Linked DNA regions of Pelodiscus sinensis. The protein of the gene in region 2 purifies or fractionates together with the protein of the main gene of each other region. This does not show direct contact. Links are inferred from orthologs where the notes say so. Each region holds a gene or a part of one and is shown on either strand. Other genes may lie near its edges. The genes, in order: PRKACB and AKAP5.

Region 1 (8,258 bases), on a different chromosome or scaffold from region 2:
TACAGGGCTGGCGGAGATGAGGGAGGAAGAAGGGACCCTGGCTGGTGGAGATAGGGAGGGGAAAGGGCCAGACTGATGCCTTGCATCTGGCCAGAGGGGGTCACCGGGGAACTGCATGGCAAGCGGCAAATCTCCGCCGCTTTGTAAGGAGGCAGACGAAGCCCTGGGAAACCCAGCCTCAAGCGGAGGGCGGAGGAGAGGGAGCGAGGCATCCAGCCAGAGGAGGTCACCGAGGAATGGCGCAGAGAACCTCTGGAGGCAGGGTAAGCCCTGCACAGCTGCCAGTGACCAGCCAGCTGGGGAAATTCAGCTGCCCGCTGCAAGCGGGGGGGGGCAGAGGAGAGGGAACAAAGCATCCGGCCAGAACGGGTCGGTGGGGAACAGCACAGCGAGTGAAGAACCTGTGCCGCTTTGCAGAGAAAGCCTTTCTCAGCTGCCGGCCACCGGCTGGCCCTAGGGAAAATCATGTTATTGCGGGGACGGGTCATGTTGTTTGAAAAATGTTCCCAAAAAAAATCATGCTATCACGAAAACGTGTTAAGCGGGCACATGTTAAGCGAGGAGTTACTGTATCAGTAAAAAAACGAGTGGTCCTGTAGCAGCTTAGAGACTAACATTATATATATATATATATATATATATATATATATATATATATATATATATATATATATAGTATCACTAGGGGGCTGTACTGCCTGCTTATTATACTTGCCAACCTCACTCTGTTGCAGCCACATCGTGGCCTCCTCTCCTGCCCATGCCTCAGCAGGAGGGGGACTACCACCAACCCTTCCTGCAGCCAGATGGTGGCTGGACCGCAGGCCCTACCCCAGTATTGGGGCCAGGGACAGGATGCGGTGGCCAGAAGGGGGTTAGGCCCCAATTGGGCAGGGAGTCTGGCTTGGCAGAGGGGGCAGGAGTAGGTTGGGGGCAGGGTGACGGCTGGGGATAGGAGGCAGGAGCAGGCAGGGAGTGTGAGGCTTGGCAGGGGAGGGAACGTGTGAGGCACTGGGGAGACAGGGCCAAGGCTGCAGGGGCTCTTACTTGTTTTCATGTGGCATGCTGCTTCCAGGCACCAGAGGCTTTACCTGCAGCTGTCTGAGTAGCGGGAAAAGCCTCCAACAAGTTCATAGGTGCACCAGCCGGGGAGGGGAAAGGGAAGCAGCAGTGCGCATGCTTCCCCGCAAGCCAGATCCAGCACAGAGTTGTGGGGCTTTCTCTCCCCTTTGACCCCCCACAGGAAGCCAGTGGAGTCTGGAGCGCCAGGCAGGCGGTAGCCCAAGCACACATCCTGAGGCAGGCAGCAGAAGTTCCCTGGGAGTTGGGGTAGGAGGTGCTGGGCCACGGAAGCCAGAGCTCAGAAGCGAGAGGCAAAGGGGGGAGCTGGAGCTGCCGCTTCTCCCTAACCCACCTGCAGGGGAACCAGGAGGCCAGCAAGGAGCCCAGGGGGTCCCCAAGGAGAGGCCAGGGCAGAACTCTGAGCCATGGCCATCTCTTCCCCTTCAGAGACTGCCAAGGCTGGGGGTGGGGGACAATGCAGAGTGATGTGATGATGTCACTATTGTCCCACAGGAAAATTTTTGCAAGAGAGAGAGACAGACACGAGGTTTTGTTTGCAAAACCCACTTGCTCAGATGAGCAGAGCAGAGTGGAGAGAAAAGGGGACCCTCACAGTTTGACAGAAAAAGAAGGGTGAGGGGAAAGGACCTATCAGTTGTAGTGCTGGTGCTAAAGAGGCTAATTGAGTGGACTGGAAGTGTCCCATACTAGGGATGCTAGTGAGTAGTTTACTACTTGACTAGTCTCTGGGGTGCCACCTACCCCCTTCCTCCGTTGTCCCTATCAGAGGTAGCAGGGTGAGGATAGGGGAGGCTACTCTGGCAGAAGCCCCTGTTCGCAGGGGTCTCATTGGGGAACTGGGGCCTGCCCGCAGACAGGGGCTGCTGCTGCCAAGCAACCCCTGTTTACAGTGGCTGGAGCAGACTCAGTTTGTGGTGGCTAGGGCTGGTCAGTCCCAGCTCCAGGAGCTACCCTTGCTATGGCTCTACAGAGTGCCCCTTATCGACTAATCTTATAGTTGATACAAATTTTATCAACTACATGATTAGCCAGATAACTGCAATTTAACATCCTTCTCCCATACTTAACTTTTTATGTCACTTGAGTGTTGAATGTTAGGAAAGCAGATTTTATAATGGCCCATCCAGTTAATGTCTTTGTTCAAGCCATGAGAAACAGCGTCAAACTTGCATATGAAGGCCAGTTCTGCACTCTCTCTGTGGTGTTGGTTTTTGAAATTTCTTTGTAGAATATTTTAAATCCATTAATGAGTGTCCAGGTAGATTAAAATGTTCTCCTGCGGGTTTGCGTGTATTGCCATTTCTGATATCTGACTTGTCTATTTATCCTTTGTTGTGTGTGTATATATATTAGGGTATGTCTACACTACCCCGCTAGTTCGAACTAGCGGGGGTAATGTAGTCATCCGCACTTGCAAATGAAGCCCGGGATTTGAATTTCCCGGGCTTCATTTGCATGAAGCCGGCCGGCGCCATTTTTAAATGCCGGCTAGTTCGGACCCCGTGCCGCGCGGCTACACGTGGCACGGACTAGCTAGTTCGGATTAGGCTTCTAATCCGAACTAGCTGTATGCCTCGTGGAACGAGGTGTACAGCTAGTTTGGATTAGGAAGCCTAATCCGAACTAGCTAGTCTGTGCCGCGTGTAGCCGCGCGGCACGGGGTCCGAACTAGCCGGCATTTAAAAATGGCGCCGGCCGGCTTCATGCAAATGAAGCCCGGGACATTCAAATCCCGGGCTTCATTTGCAAGTGCGGATGACTACATTACCCCCGCTAGTTCGAACTAGCGGGGTAGTGTAGACATACCCTTATGTATTTGGCCAATATACAATGCAGTGCCCCTCTCCCATGTACAATTGGTGGTAGAGAGGGAAAAAGTTGACCTTGACAAAGCATAGAAGAACAGAAGGTGGTTTCACCACAAGTGAGAGGGTGTAATCAGGTGGGAGGAGGAAGTATTTATACCCTGGGAAGTTCTGGAGAAGTCTTCTCTCACTGCATTAGATCTTAGTTGCCCGTGCCCTCCCACAAATGGATTTTTTCCTAATCTGCTATGAGTAACCTTTTTCTTAAGGGCTGGGAAGGGATTTTTCTCTCAGTGCCCAATTGGCCAAAATGGATTGTTCTTTTGTGTTTTACTTTACCCACAGCAGGTCAGGGCCTGGTAGCCTAGGCTAATTTGGGTCAAAATATTGCAACGTAATAATTAACAAATGTGGCAGATGTCCAGTGCAAGTATGTGTTATGGACGGGTACAGCGGAGAATGAATTCCCCCGCACCGTGTTCCTTTTCCATCTCCCTTAATTCTCATGGTGGGGAGATGGGTGAAGTCCCAGCAACAGGTTGATAGGGATCAGGTGCAGAGATAGAGGATTGATAGCACCTAAGGATGTAAACAGGTAACTGGTTAATTGGGCAGCTTCACACCCGGCCAGCCTCCTGGGGGGCATTCCAGCCCATCAAGGTCAGAGCAGACTCATGCTGTGGAGCCCCAGGGCTGGCCAGGATGGAGCACACCCAGGAAACAGTGTAATAGGTCCTGCTGAGCCCAACTGGAGCAGCCCCCACTGGGCTGCACCAGGCCTGCCATGCTGCAGGGACCAGGCGCCCCCTGCAGGGACCTGGCTGTATTGAGTTGCCCTGATTTACAGGTTTGGGACCCATCACAAAGGTATGAATAAAGACATTACCTGCCTAGCACACTACCTTCCACATCCTAATGACTTAAAAAAACAAACGGGTACTTAGAGCAGGTGCAAATTGTTTTTCTCAGCTTCTTGTAACATGGATACTTTTATTGACTTTTTCCCTCCTTTTCCCCTCCTTCTCCTTGCCCCCAGTCTCCTGTTTATCTTGGAACTGGACCTTAAACTCCATTCATCTGAAGAAGTGGGTTGTACCCTTGAAAGTTCATGATATCATCTACATGTTTTGTTAGTTTTTAAGGTGCTGCTATACTATTCATTGTCTTTTAAGTTTTTCCAGTTACAGACTAACTCAGCTACTCTTCTGAAGTGGTTAAACATCGTTTAACTGGTTAACATTTTAAATGGGATTTTGTGTCCCTAATAGCAGGCCTCCTAAATAGGTGGAAATGATTAAGAGGAGAACTATGATGATCACTGTACAACTTACTGCTAGATATTCCCAGATATATTAAATGTATACAATTGCAAGCTAATTACATCTTCTCCATTGCCTTCTGTTTTTCTTCTGGGATGGTTGGAAAATGGATATATTTCTTTATTAAGGACTGGATGTTACCTTACTCAGTAAGTGGCCCCACTGACTTGTTGATAGACATTTGGAGGAAGCTAAAACTCAGCATGAGTAAGGTTGGCAGAATCTGGCTTCTTGTTACACAAGAACTATTCTTTAGCTTACTCCATTATGGCTTTCTAAATGTAAAAGGACAAAAGTGGTAACTTTGTTAATTTTTATTTACCATAAAACATCATTTGTTTTAACAAGTTAACCTTCTTGCTTAGAAAATTGTACTGTTGTAAAAAAAATGTAGGGATACTTTTTAGTTGATGGATGTTTATGGGAGCTATTTTTAAATTTTATCTGTATTCTGATTTTTTCCTTCACTTTATATCACATGCAGTTGTGTATTTTCATTGTCATGTGTTTTTTTATATGAAAAAAGTTGTTAAACTCAGAGTTTAAGACAACTATTACAGCTCTTTTAACCGCCACCTTTAGCAGATACAACAGAGTTTTGCTAAGAAAAGCACCATAACGTGCTGTTTTGTATTAACAGGAAGCAGAACAGCAGTAGTGGTTAGAAACACTGCATTCAGGAAGTTTGACACATGCATAAGTTCCTAGCTTCTGTTTAAGTTGTTTGAGCTCCTTTATAGATTGTCTAATGTTTTTTAAAGTAAATTATCAATGAATATAGATGGCAGCGCAGCGGGAACTATCTTGTAACCAGTGCACAGGGACATCCACTGCTTTGCAGAGACTTGAAGGGTTTGCTAACCGACTTTTTCATAGGCACTCTAAGGGTAGTTTACAAGAACAGAAAGTGGCTCTGGAAAATGAGAGCCATCATTTCTCTGAACTTGCTGCCCTATGGGACAGATCAAGTAAGTGTACTGTAGATATTTAATATTCAGTTTTTATGGTAATTAAAAGATTTTATGTAGTAAATAGACAAAACTACTGTAAATTCTATCAGCCTTTTTATAGTGTAACAGTAAATGTAGCTTTAAAGCAAGAGCTATTGCAACATGCAGGTGGAAATTTGATACTCTTTCACAGGGACTTGGTGTCTGGTAACAGAGTTTCATATGTGAGCTTCCTTTTTCTTAGACAAGTGTTGTTAACTTAATTTCTGTGTTTTTTGTAAGCTTTTCTTCCCAGTATTCCAGATCTAAATTAGATAGTTTTAGCAACAGTAGATAATTTACTTGTTTAAAATTGTGGGTTTTCTTTGTCTTTAATTTTGGAAGGGTGGATATTATGTTATGCTGACTGGGGGGTTAATTACATGACATCTTTTAAAAAATTATAGTGTCATTTAATTTTTATTAGATATTTCATAATCCATTTTGTGGTAATTTGAACACTAAAACTAGAGCATAAATTCATTGTTTACTATTTCAGATTAATGCAGTGTATTAATTTTGATTTATACCACTAGTTATCTATCACTTTAATTTTATAATCTTAATTCGTGAGTGCAATTTTATTTATATTGTAGAAAATATGTATGATCAGAAATAGGGCTCAACCAGGTGCATGCCCCCCCTTACTTTCTAAAACACACAAAATATTCAGAGTTCATAATTCAAGCCAAAAAATAACAAAGTTAATGAGATCAAACTGGTTATCACTGCTGTGTACATACTCTACTGTAAAACAAATAAGTTATTTAGGAATTTGTGTCCAGCCTGGGGTTGGAGAGGGTGAGGCACCACAGAGGCCCCTTGCCAGCGCACTCTGGGCCCGGGAATGGGAAGGGGGCTGTGCAGTCCAGCTCCTGTGGTGTTCCCCAGTCCAAGGTTGGGGAGGAGGGGCTGTGCGGGCTGGCTGGGCGTGACCATGTAGGGCAGCCATGCAGTACTGGGGAATGGGGGAGGGGTTTGGCTGTGGCCCGTGTGGGGGAGGGGAGAGCGGGGGGGGGGAAGGATGTGCTGCGCATCCCTGGTGGCGCTTGTGGGGGGGAGAGTTATGATAGTGGGACCAGCAGAGCTTCTCCCTCTCCCCGGTGTAGTGTTGGGGGCTGGGGGGAGCAGTGGGGAAGAGGTGCCACCTTCATTGTCCAGCAAGAAGGCAAGCCCTGTCTCCAGCTGGCAACCTCCTTCCTGGTGCGGCTTCCCCAAGTGGTCACTCTGCAGTATAGCTGTTCCCTGTGCTCACTGCCCCCAGTGCTCATTCTGCAGTATTGTGTCTCTCTGAACAGCCCCCTCCTTTTCTATATAATGGAAAACAGTCAAATTCCAGGCACATCCTGTTCTCTTGCACAACCAAACCATGAATTTGCTTTAAGTTAGGATAAGAGAAAAAAGCTGCATACCAAATTTGGTGGTCTTAGCTGTTAATGTTTAGGAGGAGTTCTTAAACAAATGGACTCACAGAACAAGACACACAAATCTCTACTATATGTAATATATATAGGGGGGAGGGAGGGAATGAATGTATTGTCTTATTATTTGCTAGCACATTTACCCAGTGTTACTTGGGTCATAACATAAGAATGGCCGTACTGGGTCAGACCAAAGGTCCATCTAGCCCAGTATCCTGTCTGCCGACAGTGGCCAGCACCAGGTGCCCTAAAGAGGGTGGACTGAAGACAATGATCAAGCAATTTGTCTCCTGCCATCCCTCTCCAGCCTCTGACAAACAGAGGCCAAGGACACCATTTTATCCCCTGGCTAATAGCCTTTTATGGACCTAACCTCCATGAAATTATCTACCTTCTCTTTAAACTCTATTATAGTCCTAGCCTTCACAGCCTCCTCTGGCAAGGAGTTCCACAGGTTGACTACAGGCTGCGTGAAGAAGAACTTTCTTTTATTAGTTTTAAACCTGCTACCCATTAATTTCATTTAGTGTCCTCTAGTTCTTCTATTTAGGGAACCAATAAATAACTTTTCTTTATCGGCCCTCTCCACACCACTCATGATTTTAAGTAGGGTCATTAAGTAGGGGTTCAGGGAAGGGGGCTGGAGTAGTGGGATGGGGAGGTTGTAGGAGTCAGGACTGGAGGTATGAAGGGGCTCAGGGCTTGAAATTGGGGGTTGTAGGAGTCAGGGTTGGGTCAGAGGAGGGGCTTAGGGTGGGAAGTGGAGGGTGCAGAAGTCATGGCAGGGAATTGAGAGGTATGGGGGGGGCATATGTTGGGGAGGGAGAGGGGAATTGAAGGAGGTTCCCGGCTGCTTGGTGGGACAGAGGGAGCCATGCTGGCTCATCAACACATGAAAAACTTCCTAACAGTCAGCGTGATTAAAACTGGGATAAATGCATAGGGAGGTTGTGGAATTGCCATCACTGAAGATATTTAAAAGCAAGTTGAGCTAAACCAGGGGTGGGCAATAATTTTTTACTGGGGGCCATTTCAGAAATTTTTGAAGGGGCCCCTGGCTGCACCGGAAGGAGCAGGGCCTCAACTGGAAGGGGCGGTGTCACAAATCATTGTGACAGCAGGGCCACGATACTTCCCCGCTTTCCTACCCACAGATTGGTCTGAGGGCAGGGGAGCAGGTGAAGTCTTTGCTTCCCCCCCCCCTCCGCCCCCAGAGATTATCCCTAGGCACCAATGCCCCTGGCAGTGGGAGAAGACTTCGTGCACTCCCCCGCCCCCAGGTCCTAATTGGCCTGGGGGCGGTGGAGCAACAGGGCCTCTGCGGGCTGGATCCACCCGCTTGGCTGGCCGGATTCAGCCTGAGGAGGCCCTTTTGCCCACCCCTGATCTAGAGTCTCGCCCTACTCAACCAGTCTCTTACCAGTTTTCCCACTCCTCCGAGTTCATTCTGAAGTATAAACTGTGCCTGCTAGCAGACTCATCCCTTTGAATTTATGAGAAACAGTCATATTTCAGGCAAACCCCATTGTCTTGATACAGCTAAACACTTAACCTTGCTTTAAGTCAGGGCTACTCAACTTTGGAAGCCCCAGGGGCACACTGATAATTGACTGCACATGCCGAGGGCCGCAACTTATATGC
Region 2 (8,594 bases):
CCGCGCTCTGCTGAGCCCCGCCGTGCCAGCTGCTCCCCGCGCTCAGCCAGAGCCGCTGCCCTCCCGCGACGGGTCCCACCTGCCCCGGGGAGCATCCCTGGGCTGCCACGCGCCCCGCGCCCCCCGGGCAGGCCAAGGTGGAGTGAGCAGCGGCTAGTTTTGTCCCTGGGGACGGAGCAGGAGGGAAGGGCTGCTTTTAGCACCCCAGCCCATGTCAGTGCCAAGCAGGGGGTCTGGGAGAGACACTCCCCTCCCTGACCGGCAGCCCTGGCTCCTCCACGAAGCTGGGCAATAGGACAAAGGCTATTTCAGAACTGTGTGTCAGGACCCTGGCTCCCAGTGTGGGCAAGGAATGAGCCAGGACAATCTGCAGCATCCCCTCCTTGATGCCGTCTCATTCTCCAGCCCAGGGCTGGACGGCCTATATTAGTAAGTGGGCTGCATCATGGTCCTATTTCATCGCTGTGGGCCACAAAATTGTCATAGTTAAGATGGTCTCCTGGGATAGTAAGCAAAGCTACCCTGCGCTTGCATATCTAGAATTTGCAGTGTGCGCAGACTGAATGGGAGCAGTGCTTTGGATGCAGAGAGAATGGGTGTCTTTCACAGTCAATGCTGTGCAAACAGCCTGCACTTCATTTCACATACCTTTGCTTTATGTGCACATCACTTTAGTAATACCCATAGGAAAACTATGTGGACAGAAACCAGCAGAATCTGGCAAGCATGCACGGGGGCACTAGTGAACAACCACACCCTGAACTGTGAGGGACCGCTGGTTTCCCACCACTGCTCTAGTATCTAAGCTTCAAACTTATGTATATCTCCTGCTGGTAGGGTTGCTGAGATGGCCCTGCAAATAGGAATCAAGTGCAACTGATGCACTACATGAAACCACATTCCGAGAGCTGTGAATTCCCCATTAGCCTCAACAGGGGATTAACTGCTGCCCACTGATAACTCATCAGAGCATGTATTTTAAATTAAGAAATGAGAGGGAGGAGCATATTTCAAACAGCTGCACAGTCTGTACAGTTGCCTAATGCGGGTAAGGCTTAGATTTTTTTTTTAAAAAAACCCTCTTTTTAGCCTCCTATTAGCTCTTTTTATTATGGAGTAATATTAGTGGGCCCAGGACAGAATCCAGCCCAGTCCTTAGCTGAAATGCTCACTAGTAAGATGATGGAGACGTAAAGCAAGCACAGAGTGCTCATAATGGATGCATTTTTCTTGGAATTCCATTTGCCATTTTCATGCAGTAGGTTTAGTAATATACATTTAGCATAGTAGCATCCCACTGATCCTGATTTCAAAAACGGTTACTGCTTGTTAGGGCACAAATGTGAGTCTACAAACTCCTTGGTCTAATACCCTTCATAATTATCTGGGGTGGGATCTGGGTTCAAATTATAACACATTTCCACTTCCTTGTAGCTCAGTGATGCCTGTTAGTGCTAAGGTTTATTGAGTAGGCAGCAAGAATAAGGATTAGAGAGAACATGAGGCAACAAAGGCATAGGATCACTAATTCAGGTATATCACTTCCAGTTTAAATACCCTGTATTTGGAATACTGTTCCTCATCCAGCTTCAGAGCATGACAACAATGCAAAGGGAATAATTTGCCGGAGGATCAGAGATTGCTGTGGATGGGCATGGTTTCAAAACCAATGGTTCAGAGCAAGCTTTCTTGCTTGCATGAGGGTCTTGGTGACACAAGGTGTGGGGTATAGAGATGTAAAATACCAATTTAAACATGTTTAACCATTTAAGAATGCCCTCCTACCCATTATGCCCAGGCTGAAGCACCCCCTCCCCTCCAGCTCCCACTAGTTAACCAGAACTGGTAAGTATCACATGTTAAGGGTGATGCTTACCGGTTACCCACTAGGGATGTGAAAGGTTAAGCTTATTTCTGTTCTGAGAAAGGCTTTGACGACATGGAAACCCTACCTCAGTCCATGCTGCTGGCCAACATTTTGCAAAATTAAGTGACATTAGATCATGTTACAGAAGGATCTGTCCACATATCATAACATTTAGGATAGCTAAGGGCATGAGAACATGTAGTGCTTCAAATCCACAAATTCAGTGGAGAATGAATGCTATGACCTGTCACTAGATGAAGGATACTCTCACTAACATTGGCTACCTCTCATAAAAAAATTACTTTCAACCAGTCCTTGTCCAAGAGGGACATAGCAAGCTTCTGGTTTTTAAATAAAGGCTGTACAAAAGAACTGGAAGGGCATTTGTGGGGGCTGGGAGATGAAAGGAACAAGATACAATTGGTAGAATGGAAGATAACCAGACATGAGAAGAAAGTAGTATTATGTGTAGAAGCTGACATGACAGAGCCTATGATTCTGTTTATTCTGGTTCCAGAAGTGGCCTGTACAGGATATGCCTTAGCAGGCCCACACCTCTTTGTTTACCTTAGCCACAGAGCCTCACATTGGCTTTAGTTTGCCATTTCCTGCAGCTCCTTGTGTCTGCAAACGGTGAATTGGAGCCAATGGGAGGTGAGAGGCTCTGTGACTAAGGTAAACAAAGTGGCGTGGGCCAAAGCAAGCCCACAGCTCACTTCAAGAAGTACTGCCTTAGATGAAGAAGCACCTAAGGTGGCTAGCCAGAGGCACTGTTATATATGGGGAGACAATCCTTCTTGACCTCATGCAAGTGGTCTGCTTATGCCCTGAAGATTGATTGGCAATAGCTGTTCTAACTGAATGATATTATATAAAGGAAAATTTAAATGCAACTCGGGGCTCTTATGACAACTTAAGTTATTCTAACTTCACTCTTGTGACAGCCATGTAATTGTTACATAATTATTCTCCTCACTAGCTTGCTATATATAGTGTGTGTGTATCACAGATAAGCCTGTGTACTGGTGCATACACCTACATCAACTCTTCTCCCAGTCAGAGCAATTCTTTAACATATGTTAGGTCAAGATCAAACACAAGCATATGGGCCTTGCAGTTTTATGTAGAAACAATTATCCAAAATTTTTTTTTGCTGTTTGCATGGGCAAGTTATTCTAGTCAATTGATAAATCAAAAGAATTGATTGTCTCACTTCACCACAGTCGTCAGTGAGTACATCTAAATCCACTGAATAATTCAGGTAATTATTATCCTACAGGTGACATGCCGTCCCAGAAAAGGAAGCTGGATTAAACCTACACACAGTGGAGCACTGCAGACTCAACAGTATTACTGTACTGCAATATTCACTTTTACTTGTCAATACTGGGATCACTGCTGTGAACATTCCTCCCAATTCATCATCATAAAACTTTTACTTCATTAATCTCAATGCACATATTAAAACCCAGGGAATCCTAGAAAGATTTTAGCAATTTATTTGTGTTAATTACATTTTCACATTATTAAATGATGTTTTGGACTATTGCGACAAATCCATTACAGGCTATTTGATTTAGTGCTTGTGTGGTCTTTGTTCACCAAAAAAGGGATTTCAAGAACCAAAAATAGTTTAATCATTTACAAAATTCATCCTTGCTCATCAGATAGCTATTAAAAACCGCATATAGAACAAATGTCTATCCCCAGACATAGCATGCAGGGCTAGTCTCCAAAAAAAGGCAAATTGTGTATGTTCCACTTCCATTAACAATTCAGTAGGTAACATGAGAAAACATAGATCATCCCAGGGCTTTTTAAAGAGAAGACTAGATACAGTACAGGTGCCCACAAGAAAAATTCAAAGCAAAGCAGAAACCAATGGTCAAAAGCTTTCAGGGAAGAACAGAAACAAAGACATTCTTCCCTACTGCCTACTTTTCATTTAATTAGTATGCTCTGATAAGGCACTATTTTCTCTTTTAGAGCTAGCAATGAATTATAGAATGAAATGCAGTAGAAAGATACAGTGCACAGACTTTCTAAAACACATTTCAAAACAACCAATTAAGCCCTGGACTGTGGTAAACACTATATCAATAAAGAAACCATAATGTTATTGTTACATTTTAATAAGTAACAATCACAGAGCTAGGAAGAGGGTATTAAAAACAGGTTTGCTCTGACATTATGAAGGGTAAAAGCAATAGGTTCATGAAAGCAATATAATTAAAAAACATCACATATGTAAGATTTAAGTTCTTATCCTTACTGAACTAAAAGACTGAAATAAAATATTTTTTTAAAACTATTCAGATTAAAAAAATAAATGTATATAGTTCATTCATTTCCAAATGCCCCTTTCTCCCAGTCACTTCAGGTATTGCCATATATTATTTTGTCTTAAATCAGGATACAACTGAGTTTGCACTGCTCATCAAGTAATCTTCTGGTAGCTATAAAGAAAAATGAAAACTTAATTACCAACAGATATACAGAAAACAAAGGCAAATTTTAGGAGGAACTACAACCAAATGCCCTTTGAAAACATAGAGCTTCATAATTAGATCTGAGTATATTCCTTTTCAGTTGGAAAAATATAAACCAAATATTTGCAAGGCTTCTAGCTCAAATAAGAGACTTACCTTTGGTTAACATTTGTTTTCAGAACAGCCCGTTCACCTGTTCTGACACTGGATCCAAGTCTATATCATAGAAACAGGGGCGAGTAGGAAGTCCTGGCATAGTACTCATCTGGTGGACAGAAGGGAAAAGTATATTAGTGGACAGAGCCTGGGTTTGGGGTTGTGAGCTGGTTTTGGCTCTTCCATTGACTCAGTGTGACTTTGTGCAAATGGTTCAGCAAAGCACTTAAGCATGCGCTGAAATTTAAGCATGTGCCTATTTCCACTGACTTCAGTGGAACTACTGAAGTTTGACTGCATGAGACAATAACTGTGCCACAATTTCCGTTAGTGAGACAGGGATCTCAATACCTCACAGGAATGTTGTGAGGCCTTCAAGTATATCTGCACCTCACCTGCATGCAAAAATTCCAGTTGAAGTGATGCAGCTGTACTGGCTCTGAAGGAGCGAGACGACTAGAACAGAGTATAGAATGGTGGTAGTCATCATGAGAACATTACTTATCCAAGAGAAACATGGCTAGTCTCTCTTTCTGCTGTGCTTACACTCTATTTTTAGCCCACTAGATCTGATTAAGCTAATATGGTTGTCTCTCCTCAAGCTGGAATCTGTACCTCCCACTCACAGTATACATATACACATTTCAGAAATGCTCTGAGAGCCCAGGATTAAAAGCACTACCTAGTTGGCCCAGTACTGGCTTTAAAAAGAGATGGAATTTTCTGACTAAAAAGATAGAAGCTGGACTTGAACTGACGAGGGGACAGTTCCACTGGATAAAACAGCCAGTCACTTTAAACTGTATGAAAGTTCTGAGAGCCATTTTAGATCACAAGAGGTGCACTGGCCAAAGTAGGGTAGCTCACACTACATCGACCTAAACAACGTCTCCTCAAGCCAACGCCATCACTTGTTCAGCTGTCAAGCACCAACATTTATAAATCCATAGAGTATAAGGCTGGAAGGAGCCATTAGATCTCCTAGCCAGACCTCCTATAGCAGACAAGCCTTAGAACCTCACCCATATTACTTCCCATACTGAGCCCAGTAATTTAAGTTTGACTAAAGTGTATCATGCAGAAAGACAGCCTATTTTGACTTAAGAGACCCGAAGAGATGGAGAATCTACTTTTTCCCTTGTCAGTTTGCCCCGATGGTTAATCATCCTCAGTATAAAAATGTGTGTCTATGTTTTAATTTGAACTTGTCTGTCTTTGAGCTTCAGGGGGTATCCAATTAGTCTGTTGCAGAAAAAAAACAGCAAACAAATGGCCTGGTAGAACTTTATCGACTAACAAAACATGTAGATGGTATCATGAGCTTTCGTGGGCACAGCCCACTTCTTCAGATATTTCCACTACATCCGCATCTGGATATTTTCACTACATACATCTGACGAAGTGGGTCTTTGCCCACGAAAGCTTATGCTCCAATACATGTTAGTCTATAAGGTGCAACAGGACTCCTTGTCACTTTTTCAGATCCAGACTAACACAGCTACCCCTCTGATATTTGATAGGGATGTTAGCTATCGGGTATTTGTGTAAACATGCAGCCACTGGAAATTAAGTGAAGGTGTGGGGTGTTTTCTGTAACGTAAGCACTGCAAAAACAAAGAACGCAGAGAGTGATACCACTGTTTAGCTATCCCAAAATAAACCACAGAGCTGCACTGAATTCACTCACAGGATTAAAAATAGCCCAAAACAACAAACAACAGAAGGCCCAACAATCAAACACCTATTAGATATTACATTGTAAAATTTTCAAAAGCACTTCGTAACAACCTATTTTCATTCAGATAGCTGCATCTCACTGAATGTCCATGGGGCTTTAGCTCCTAGATCACACAAGTGCTTTTGAAAATTTCACCCACATCAAAGTACTTATCTGGCCCAGCATTTTATTATAAAGGCAGTGGTCCTCAAACTTTTAACCCTTACCCCATCCATGTTCCCTCCCCGTCAACAGCCACGTCAGAGCTGGGGCTGGGAGTGGAGCCACGGCTGGGGCCGAGACCAGAGCTGAGAGCCAAGATTAGTGGGAGCAAGGCCAGGAGTGGAGCTATGTCCAAGGGCTAAGGCTGAAGCCATAGCCAGGAGCAGAGCAGCTGGGGCCACGTGCAGAGCCACAGCCAGGCTGGGAGACCTGGCCAAAGCTGGGGCCACAGCTGAAGCCAGAAGTAGAGCCACACTCCAGAGCAAGGCCCACAGCTGGGGGTGGGGAAACTGCAGAACCATGGCAGGGAGCTGCAGCAGAGCTTAGGGCAGAGTGGGGTTAGCTGGCACTCTCTTCCCACCTCCCCATGAGGGTTGGCCTGATCCCCTCTGTGCCCCGAATGTTCCTTCAAGTCCCTCAGAGTTCGGGGACGACTGATCAATCTCATGGTACGCCTACACAAAAACTAGACACAGGGCTGTTTAACTGAAGTGTAAGCATTTAGACTCACCCTGTGAGGTGCTTGACCTCTTGAGCCCAAGTCAAGCAGCACAGGCTACTAGCAGGTTTTTAATCGTACAGTCTGAAGTCTGCATTCCCCAAAGCTGGACCCTGCAATTGTGTCCCCTCTACAGTTGCTTGGGTTTGGTGGATGCATACAGAAGAGTGATCTGGGGATTGTAGGATCAGGACCAAAATCATACAATTTCCTATGAATCCTGATGTCTCTTATTAGAGTTAATGTCCTGCCCAAAAAGTACTTTAGACATTTGGAAAAGCATAATGTATGACTATGCAGGACTGATGCCATGGGAGAAAAAGCCAGTTCTATTCGGCTTTAATTTCTGAAAACACCCCTGTCCCTAATACATTTGATCTAAGATACCGTATGCCATAGTTCACCAACTCACCAAAAGTCACTGGATTAAATTCTGTGTTGCTTGGAATAGATGTATCAAATGATCGGAAAAGGCTCAATTTACTTTTCAATTTGTCCCAAACACACAGTACTCCCACTTGCAACAAAAAGGGATAGTGCTTTACATACCCCATACACTCAGAGGAAGCACGTTTATAGGTCTTCTAACAGCATCTGCTCAAACAGGACTAGATTCCTCCCCTCCACATTTTCAGGGATTCCTTTAACTCAGATGTTATTTTCTTGGACATGACTGTTTTGTACCTCTCCTTCATTCTGTGCTGTTTACATCAGCCATTTAGTGTCCTGATAACATCAGATTCCTCAACAGATCTTATTCCCACCATGATCAGCCTTCTTCTCTAAATCTGCCACTTCTGTTGGCACAGTAATTAGTTCAGCACGTATGTCTGTCTTTATTGCCTTGAACATCATTAAGAGTATCTTCTGTTCTCTCTCAACTATGGAGACCTTCAGCATCATCCTGCCTTAATCATCAAAGTGGGCCTCTCTCTTGCAGCTGAGATCAGCAGGTTTTCGTTTAGTTTCCTGCCAAGTTTCATTTCCAACTGGTGTTTTCTGAGGAGGAATCTATTTCACACCTGAAGAACCCGATTTCACTGGAGTGCCAATGAAAATTGGGGTTCTAACTCTACTCCTGGACAGATCTCACCTGCAGCTGATGTCACCTCTTTTCTTATATGCAGTTTTTATTGCTATCATTTTTTCTTCCGGACAAAACAAACAATTTACAGTGTCTGGATCTAGCTTAATGAATTTAATGGAGCTCAAGTTTGAGAAAACTAAATACAATGCCTATGATTTAGCTTTGTTCACAAGGCACCAACACTGTTTCCATGTCTGTAAGTAGCAATTATGCTACTGGGGAATCAGTGAACTTAAAGATGTTCTAAGAATCAAATTGTTGAGCATGCCTGAGCTACAAAAAATTAACTGAAGTCTCATTAAAGTCTAACCCAGGAAGGCCACAGCAGAATGGTGACAATATTACTCTTTGAGGATGCACAGAGAAACTAGTTTTCAATATATATTTATTAAACTTCAGGGACTGTTTGCTCCTAGGTAAATAGATGTTTTTAAAGGAACATTCAGCAGTTTAGGGAGGCAGGCAATTCCTTGCTCATCATGACTGACTTTGTTTACTCTTTTACTTGGCGTTAAAATTCAATAACTTTTAAAAGATTTCCTCCAACATAAGAAATA

What was found.
Region 1: the proteins of AKAP5 (region 2) and PRKACB purify together in Homo sapiens (affinity purification with mass spectrometry; 4 studies listed by BioGRID and IntAct, counting the BioPlex papers as one, with this or other methods). This does not show direct contact. The link is inferred for Pelodiscus sinensis from reciprocal best matches to the Homo sapiens genes AKAP5 and PRKACB.

What each region holds. Positions count from the first base shown.
Region 1 is NC_134719.1:29,277,966-29,286,223, forward strand, and holds the start of PRKACB (cAMP-dependent protein kinase catalytic subunit beta), read left to right. Parts: upstream 1-4,892; 5' UTR 4,893-4,988; coding exon 4,989-5,175; intron 5,176-8,258. UniProt on the Homo sapiens protein: Mediates cAMP-dependent signaling triggered by receptor binding to GPCRs.
Region 2 is NC_134714.1:15,758,739-15,767,332, reverse strand, and holds the start of AKAP5 (A-kinase anchor protein 5), read right to left. Parts: upstream 3,233-8,594; 5' UTR 1-3,232. Other genes in the region: MTHFD1 (C-1-tetrahydrofolate synthase, cytoplasmic), read right to left, coding at 4,532-4,621. UniProt on the Homo sapiens protein: Multivalent scaffold protein that anchors the cAMP-dependent protein kinase/PKA to cytoskeletal and/or organelle-associated proteins, targeting the signal carried by cAMP to specific intracellular effectors.